Saccharomyces cerevisiae S288C: one gene and its partner. The protein of the gene in region 1 binds, or shares a complex with, the protein of each later gene. Each region holds a gene or a part of one and is shown on either strand. Other genes may lie near its edges. A codon is read from its position in the direction of its gene.

Region 1 (3,725 bases):
AGTCGTGAATCTTTGCTCACCAACTACAGCAGCAGTAGCAACAAAGAAGGCCGCAATTGATTTGTATATACGAAACAATACAATACTACTACAGAAATTCGTTGGACAGTACTTGCAGATGGGCAAAAAGATAAAAACATCTTTAACACAGGCACAAACCGATACAATCCAATCACTGCCCCAGTTTTGTAATTCGAATGTCCTCAGTGGTGAGCCCTTGGTACAGTACCAGGCATTCAACGATCTGTTGGCACTCTTTAAGTCATTTAGTCATTTTGGAAATATCTTGGTTATATCATCACATTCCTATGATTGCGCACTTCTCAAATTTCTTATTTCCAGGGTGATGACCTACTATCCACTAGTGACCATCCAGGATTCTTTGCAATATATGAAAGCAACCCTGAACATATCCATCAGTACATCCGATGAGTTCGATATTCTGAATGATAAAGAACTGTGGGAGTTTGGCCAAACCCAGGAAATTCTAAAACGTAGGCAGACGAGCTCAGTCAAGAGGAGATGTGTCAATTTACCAGAAAACTCTACGATCGATAACAGAATGCTTATGGGTACCACAAAGCGAGGTCGCTTTTGAAGAGCCCTCGGTAGCATAACATTTTTAATTATTACGACTGTTTTTTTTATTCATTATGTAGAGATAATTAAATGTTATAGATGCTCTATACTCAAACGGTGGAAGAAAAACAGCGAAAAAAAATAACCGATACCCCCTTTTCGAATACAAATGCTTGTATATTCAATTATGAATTATTTTTTTTTTTTTTCATTTCTTATATTATTTTTTGTTCGAGAATCACTTTTTCAAGATGGTAACAACATCTTCGTCTTCCAAAATGTGACTCAACCCCACGTATTGAGGTTGATGTTTGACACTGCTACCGTAAACCAGAGCATTTCTAAAGTCGTCCACTAAAGATTTATGAATTTGGTTACAAAAATCCTTGACACTGCAACGGTCTGATCTTAGCACCACAGGGTCGGTAAAATCTGGTATTTGGCCCTTTGGTTTAGTGTAAATACGGACTAGATTTAGTCTATCCCACATGACTTGCAACAGCTCGTCCAAGTTCCAATCTTGACCAGACGAAATAGGCACGGCATTAGGAATTCGGTAAAGTAATTCCAATTCCTCTATTGACAGAGAATCAATCTTGTTTAACACATAGATGGCAGGCATGTATCTTCTTGACGAAGCTTCCAAAACATCAATCAAATCATCCACAGTGGCATCACACCTGAAGGCAATCTCAGCGCTATTTATTCTGTACTCGCTCATAACGGCTCTGATTTCGTCATTCCCCAGATGGGTCAATGGGACTGTGTTTGTGATGGAAATACCACCTTTCTCTTTTTTTTTGATCAAGATATCTGGCGGAGTTTTATTCAGACGAATCCCCACACCTTCCAGTTCCTTCTCAATGATTTGCTTATGATGCAAGGGTTTGTTCACATCTAGGATGATAAATAACAGGTTACAGGTTCTTGCCACGGCAATAACTTGCTTACCTCTACCTCTACCATCCTTAGCACCATCGATAATACCAGGTAAATCCAACATTTGGATCTTGGCACCTTTATAACGAATGACACCGGGGACGGTAACCAGGGTGGTAAACTCGTACTCAGCTGCTTCAGACTCAGTACCAGTCAACTTGGACAGTAATGTAGATTTCCCCACCGACGGGAACCCGACAAACCCCACACTGGCCACACCAGTTCTAGCCACATCAAAACCAATACCAGCACCACCACCGCTGCCGGATGAAGCACTGGTCAACAATTCTCTTCTCAGTTTGGCCAGCTTGGCCTTCAGTTGACCCAAATGGAAAGATGTGGCCTTGTTCTTTTGGGTACGGGCCATTTCATCTTCGATAGCTTTGATTTTTTCAACTGTAGTAGACATTTTGCTCAATCAACAACTCTACGCTTGCACCTACTGCATCTAGCTTCAAACACTTCCTATCATTGCGCCCTCATCACACCGTAATATCCCATCTTAAAAGTGGAAAACTCTTATAGCTCATCGATGAAAAAAACGGGCCCTCGTCGCTTGTGATGTGAAAAAATTTTTCAAGCTTTAAGCCCATTGAAAGCAAGAGATCTTGCACTAGAATAAGTGGCAAAGGTGAACTTTGAGGGGATAAGAAGGGCAATCAGGAACATCAGATAAGTGAAAGATGGCGAAAAAGAGTAAAAAGAACCAACAGAACTACTGGGATGAGGAATTCGAAGAAGACGCCGCCCAGAACGAAGAAATCAGTGCCACGCCAACTCCAAATCCAGAAAGCAGCGCAGGTGCAGATGACACTTCCAGAGAAGCAAGTGCAAGTGCTGAAGGTGCTGAGGCCATTGAAGGCGACTTCATGTCTACTTTGAAGCAATCGAAGAAGAAGCAAGAAAAGAAGGTTATTGAAGAGAAGAAGGATGGTAAGCCTATACTAAAGTCCAAGAAGGAAAAGGAGAAGGAAAAAAAGGAAAAGGAGAAGCAGAAGAAGAAAGAACAAGCTGCCAGGAAGAAGGCCCAACAGCAAGCTCAAAAGGAGAAGAACAAGGAGTTGAACAAGCAAAATGTTGAAAAAGCTGCTGCTGAGAAGGCTGCTGCTGAGAAATCCCAAAAATCTAAAGGTGAAAGTGATAAACCAAGTGCTAGTGCTAAGAAGCCAGCCAAGAAAGTACCTGCCGGTTTGGCTGCTTTGAGACGTCAATTAGAATTGAAGAAACAACTTGAAGAACAAGAAAAGTTGGAAAGAGAGGAAGAAGAAAGATTGGAGAAAGAAGAGGAGGAAAGATTGGCCAACGAAGAAAAAATGAAGGAAGAAGCTAAAGCAGCTAAAAAGGAAAAGGAGAAGGCAAAGCGTGAAAAACGAAAGGCTGAAGGTAAGCTATTGACCAGAAAGCAAAAAGAAGAAAAGAAATTATTGGAAAGAAGACGTGCCGCTTTATTGTCTTCCGGTAACGTCAAAGTTGCCGGTCTGGCCAAGAAGGATGGAGAAGAAAACAAACCAAAGAAGGTTGTTTACAGCAAGAAGAAGAAGAGAACAACCCAGGAAAACGCCTCCGAAGCCATTAAATCTGACTCTAAGAAAGACTCGGAAGTTGTACCTGATGACGAACTCAAAGAATCCGAAGATGTTTTGATTGATGATTGGGAAAATTTGGCTCTTGGTGATGATGACGAGGAGGGAACCAACGAAGAAACGCAAGAATCCACCGCAAGCCATGAAAATGAAGACCAAAATCAAGGCGAAGAAGAAGAAGAAGGAGAAGAAGAAGAAGAAGAAGAAGAAGAAAGAGCACATGTGCATGAAGTTGCCAAAAGCACACCAGCAGCTACACCAGCAGCTACTCCAACTCCATCCAGCGCTTCTCCAAACAAAAAAGATCTTCGTTCCCCAATTTGTTGTATTTTGGGTCATGTCGATACCGGTAAGACTAAATTGTTAGACAAAATCAGACAAACCAACGTTCAAGGTGGTGAAGCTGGTGGCATCACCCAACAGATTGGTGCCACTTATTTCCCCATCGACGCTATTAAGGCAAAAACTAAAGTTATGGCTGAATATGAAAAACAAACTTTTGATGTCCCAGGTCTTTTGGTTATTGATACCCCAGGTCACGAATCCTTCTCTAACTTACGTTCAAGAGGTTCTTCATTGTGTAACATCGCAATTTTGGTTATTGACATTATGCATGGTTTGGAA
Region 2 (3,855 bases), on another chromosome or scaffold:
ATACTTACCAATGCCGATACATATTCTTTTCTTCCGCCCGCACTTAATGCATTTCTAATTAAATGAGTGGCGACGTTTTTGTCTTCAATAAGATACTCTGGGTTTGATCCTGATGGTGAGCTCGAATTATTATCCTTGTACCTGAATGCCGGTCTTTGTGCTTCCTTGTCTTCAGATACATCGATAACTTTTGGTAATTTCCCCGGTTCTGCCTTCACAGGTGCCAGATTCATATTTTTATCCATCCACCTGATAACCAAGGAAGCAATTTCTTCATTAGTTAGTAATTCGAATAAACCATCCGAACCCATCACCATAAATTTAGTGTTCTCACCAATTTTGGCAGAAGTAATCACTGGTTCCGCAGTGACATATGGGGGTGTCTTGAAATCCCTTGGCTCTCTTCTAAAATAAAGTTTGGCAACTTCAGGCAAATCCGATAATGGTTTTCCATCGACTTCTTTGATCTTGTAGCGATAGTCTCCAAATGCCCTGGATGGTTGTAATGAACCCAATATTCTTCCGTTTCTTATAACGTTTGGTTCTCCTGGATGTTCTTTCCTAATTCTCCGTACTTCATCCAAATTATCACCGGTCTGGTCGGTGGATAGCGACTTTACCGTCCAATTGCCCTCGTTGTCCAAACCACAAATTAAAGCCCTTGAGTCTCCAGTGACAGCCACTTTCAAAATTGAGTTAGTGGAGTTGTATAAACTTAATAGTGCACAAGAACCAGAAATCGCTGGTAAAGTGTTTGCAATATTTGTGTTGTTTGGATCTTGAAACAGCTTCCTGAACGATTCGATTACAAGATCATTATCTAGTTTCAAAAAACCTTTCGAAATTGCAGAATCGATTAATTGGTTGGGGTCGGAATGGAAAACCGTTTTGTTCTGGTCATATACCTGACCTAATTGATACGCTACATAACGGACTAGATCTTTAGATAATTTTTCCGAAGTGAAAGGACCACCATGTCCATCAAAAATTCCAAAAAAATACAAATCCTTCTCTATGGACTTGCCATCCTCACTTTCTATCGGAATGGTAATGATTTGTTCTACGTGATCGTCTTCTATTGGATGGTTAGAGGGCAACTGTGCCACATCATACCTGAATATACCAGTGCCACGGTTAACAAAATGGCTTTCCTCTCTATCATGTAGTTTAGCCTCTATTTTAGAATCGTTCAAGATAAGAACAGATTGGTCATTCTGAGACCGTTGACTCTTTTGTGTCTCTGTTCCTTTTGGATTAGGTGACGGCATGTTAATGTTACCACTAGTATTTGTAGAATAATCTTTTATTCCGTTAATTGTATCAAGGGAGAGGATCTTTTTAGGGGAATAGTAGGAGTAGGTCAACAGTAGGGACCCGCTTAGTAGAGCAATGTTTAGAGCTTTAGAATGTGATGATATGAATAGCTTTGTCCTTGAATAGTATGTGCTGTTGGCATGTGATGTTGAATATGCACGTTGGAGAAACTTCTGTGTGTATTCTCTACCAGATTGACATTTAGATAGAACCTTAACCGTTTTCTTTATAGCTACGGTTCTAGTTAAGGGAGACATGGAGAGATTGAGAGAAGTAAAAGCACTTCTTCTGTTGAAAAATTTCAGTAGAGCACAAATTCAATTAAAGTAGCAATAGATGTTTCTTTTCCTGCCTATCACACGATTTCGTTTACCCTCCAATCGATCCTTTTTTTCTTTTTTGTATCTTGTGTAGAAAGAAGTGAATCCTGTTTTTCTACATAATGAAGGGCCGGTAACTGCTCATTACTGAGTTTTAAAGTAGAAAATAAAAATGTATGCAATTGGTCGCCAATACCTGATAACTAAGAATGTAACTATGCAAGGGATAAGGAAATTTAGTCAATGCTGCCCATCACACCCTGAACAGCACAAGATTGCAACCTCTGAGAGTATTTCTTAAGTTGGAGACTAGTGGAGGAAATGAATTGGCACGTAGCTCGTCGAACATGATGAACTGTGATGATAATGAAAAAATTTTTGTTCCCCAGCGATGAGTTAGTGAAAATCGACAATATATCTTTTTTTAATCAATGTGTTTTACTATTTCTAGAAAGCAAGGGAAGCCACTCTATTAGTAAACCTCTGGGCTTTACACATATAAAATCGCAGGAAAGTTATATTTCGAAGATGCCACCAAAAAAGGGAAAACAGGCCCAAGCGGCTGGTAAGAAGAAGGATAATGTCGACAAGACGTTCGGTATGAAGAACAAGAACCGTTCTACCAAAGTCCAAAAATACATCAAACAAGTGCAATCACAATCCGACCCCAAGAAAGAAGAGATGAGGTTAAAGAAACTCGAAGAAAAAAAGCGCAGAGAAGCCGAAGAAGCTGAACGAAGAGCACTATTCAACCCTGTAGCAGACCAAAGGGTTCGTGCGGGTGTAGATCCCAAGTCCATGGTTTGTGCTCTGTTCAAACTGGGGAATTGTAACAAAGGTGCCAAATGTAAGTTCTCACATGACTTGAACGTCGGTAGAAGAATGGAAAAGAAAGATTTATACCAAGATACAAGAAGTGAAAAGGAAAATGACACAATGGACAACTGGGATGAAGAAAAGCTGAGAAAAGTTATCCTGTCGAAGCACGGTAACCCAAAGACCACCACCGACAAAGTATGCAAATACTTCATCGAGGCCGTGGAAAACGGTAAATACGGTTGGTTTTGGATTTGTCCTAACGGAGGTGACAAATGTATGTACAGACACTCCCTACCAGAGGGCTTTGTGCTGAAAACCAACGAGCAAAAGAGGCTCGAGAGGGAGTCGCTCGAGAAACAGCCAAAAATTACGCTGGAGGAGTTTATCGAAACAGAAAGAGGGAAACTAGACAAATCCAAGCTAACACCAATAACAATTGCCAACTTCGCCCAATGGAAGAAGGACCACGTCATCGCAAAGATTAACGCTGAAAAGAAGTTATCTAGTAAGAGGAAACCTACTGGTAGAGAAATCATTCTTAAGATGAGCGCCGAAAACAAGTCATTTGAGACGGACAACGCCGACATGCCAGACGACGTCACCCAGGGATCCGCATGGGATCTTACTGAATTCACAGATGCCTTGAAGAAGGCTGACCACCAAGACGACGGCGGCATCAAGGACTACGGTGACGGTAGCAACCCCACCTTCGACATCAAAAAAGCCAACTCCGCCACGCTCGCATAGTCTAAAATTCATATAGACTAAACTGTATATATGCCACCGTATATATAATACACGCACACACACCAACACAAAGCATGTCACGTCATGTAGCTGATCACGCAGCACGACCGCGGCCCATGCTTATCTGCCGTCTTTTTGCCCCTTTCGATATCCCACGCCCCACGCCCCCACGTTGTTGAGGTGTTTTTTCACCTCGGATCCGCCCGACAATATCTGGGATTAAAAGTGCTCGAGTTTTGCTCTCTATTTCACAATCGGTGATAGTTGAGCTTCCTTTCACTGCATCTCTTTGCAGCCTCGGGGGATGAGGCTATATACTTAGAGGGCCTGAATATATGTTTGACGCATCCCTCCTTCGTACGCTACCATCTGTTACTCTTGCACCGTTATTATATGCTTGTAATTTTTGTTATATAATAGGCCTTTCATTGTTTTTAATATAGACTTTCATCATAGGGCATCCGGAATTTCTTCTCAGAAGCCTCGCAATTTTTCTTTATATTAGGTTTTTCAGACTTTACATTTGTACAGAAACTGCGTATTGTTGACCATTACCGAGAGGAAGATAAAAAGGCATAGATAGTTAAGTTTAGCATTATAGAACCAACACAAACAAAACAATAGAAGACAAAGAGTAAGTTCAAGACAAGTAGAC

What was found.
Region 2: the proteins of RBG1 (region 1) and TMA46 are in contact, whole or in part, in a crystal structure (PDB 4A9A), measured with the Saccharomyces cerevisiae proteins. Residues at the interface, in NP_009364.1 of Saccharomyces cerevisiae: Ser83 (codon at 1,681), Lys84 (codon at 1,678), Leu85 (codon at 1,675), Thr86 (codon at 1,672), Gly87 (codon at 1,669), Thr88 (codon at 1,666), Glu89 (codon at 1,663), Val106 (codon at 1,612), Ile107 (codon at 1,609), Arg108 (codon at 1,606), Tyr109 (codon at 1,603), Lys110 (codon at 1,600), Gly111 (codon at 1,597), Lys113 (codon at 1,591), Leu150 (codon at 1,480), Val152 (codon at 1,474), Pro155 (codon at 1,465), Leu156 (codon at 1,462), Lys159 (codon at 1,453), Leu249 (codon at 1,183), Ile252 (codon at 1,174), Asp253 (codon at 1,171), Ser254 (codon at 1,168), Leu255 (codon at 1,165), Ser256 (codon at 1,162), Ile257 (codon at 1,159), Glu258 (codon at 1,156), Glu259 (codon at 1,153), Leu260 (codon at 1,150), Glu261 (codon at 1,147); in NP_014734.2 of Saccharomyces cerevisiae: Gln217 (codon at 2,811), Pro218 (codon at 2,814), Lys219 (codon at 2,817), Ile220 (codon at 2,820), Thr221 (codon at 2,823), Leu222 (codon at 2,826), Glu223 (codon at 2,829), Phe225 (codon at 2,835), Ile226 (codon at 2,838), Glu227 (codon at 2,841), Glu229 (codon at 2,847), Arg230 (codon at 2,850), Leu233 (codon at 2,859), Lys237 (codon at 2,871), Leu238 (codon at 2,874), Thr239 (codon at 2,877), Pro240 (codon at 2,880), Ile241 (codon at 2,883), Thr242 (codon at 2,886), Ile243 (codon at 2,889), Asn245 (codon at 2,895), Phe246 (codon at 2,898), Trp249 (codon at 2,907), Lys250 (codon at 2,910), His253 (codon at 2,919), Lys257 (codon at 2,931), Lys269 (codon at 2,967), Pro270 (codon at 2,970), Thr271 (codon at 2,973), Gly272 (codon at 2,976).

What each region holds. Positions count from the first base shown.
Region 1 is NC_001133.9:74,226-77,950, forward strand, and holds RBG1 (GTP-binding protein RBG1), read right to left. Parts: upstream 1,928-3,725; coding exon 818-1,927; downstream 1-817. Other genes in the region: YAL037W (uncharacterized protein), read left to right, coding at 1-598; FUN12 (translation initiation factor eIF5B), read left to right, coding at 2,202-3,725. UniProt on the Saccharomyces cerevisiae protein: Involved in ribosomal function.
Region 2 is NC_001147.6:491,271-495,125, forward strand, and holds TMA46 (translation machinery-associated protein TMA46), read left to right. Parts: upstream 1-2,162; coding exon 2,163-3,200; downstream 3,201-3,855. Other genes in the region: type 2C protein phosphatase PTC5, read right to left, coding at 1-1,571.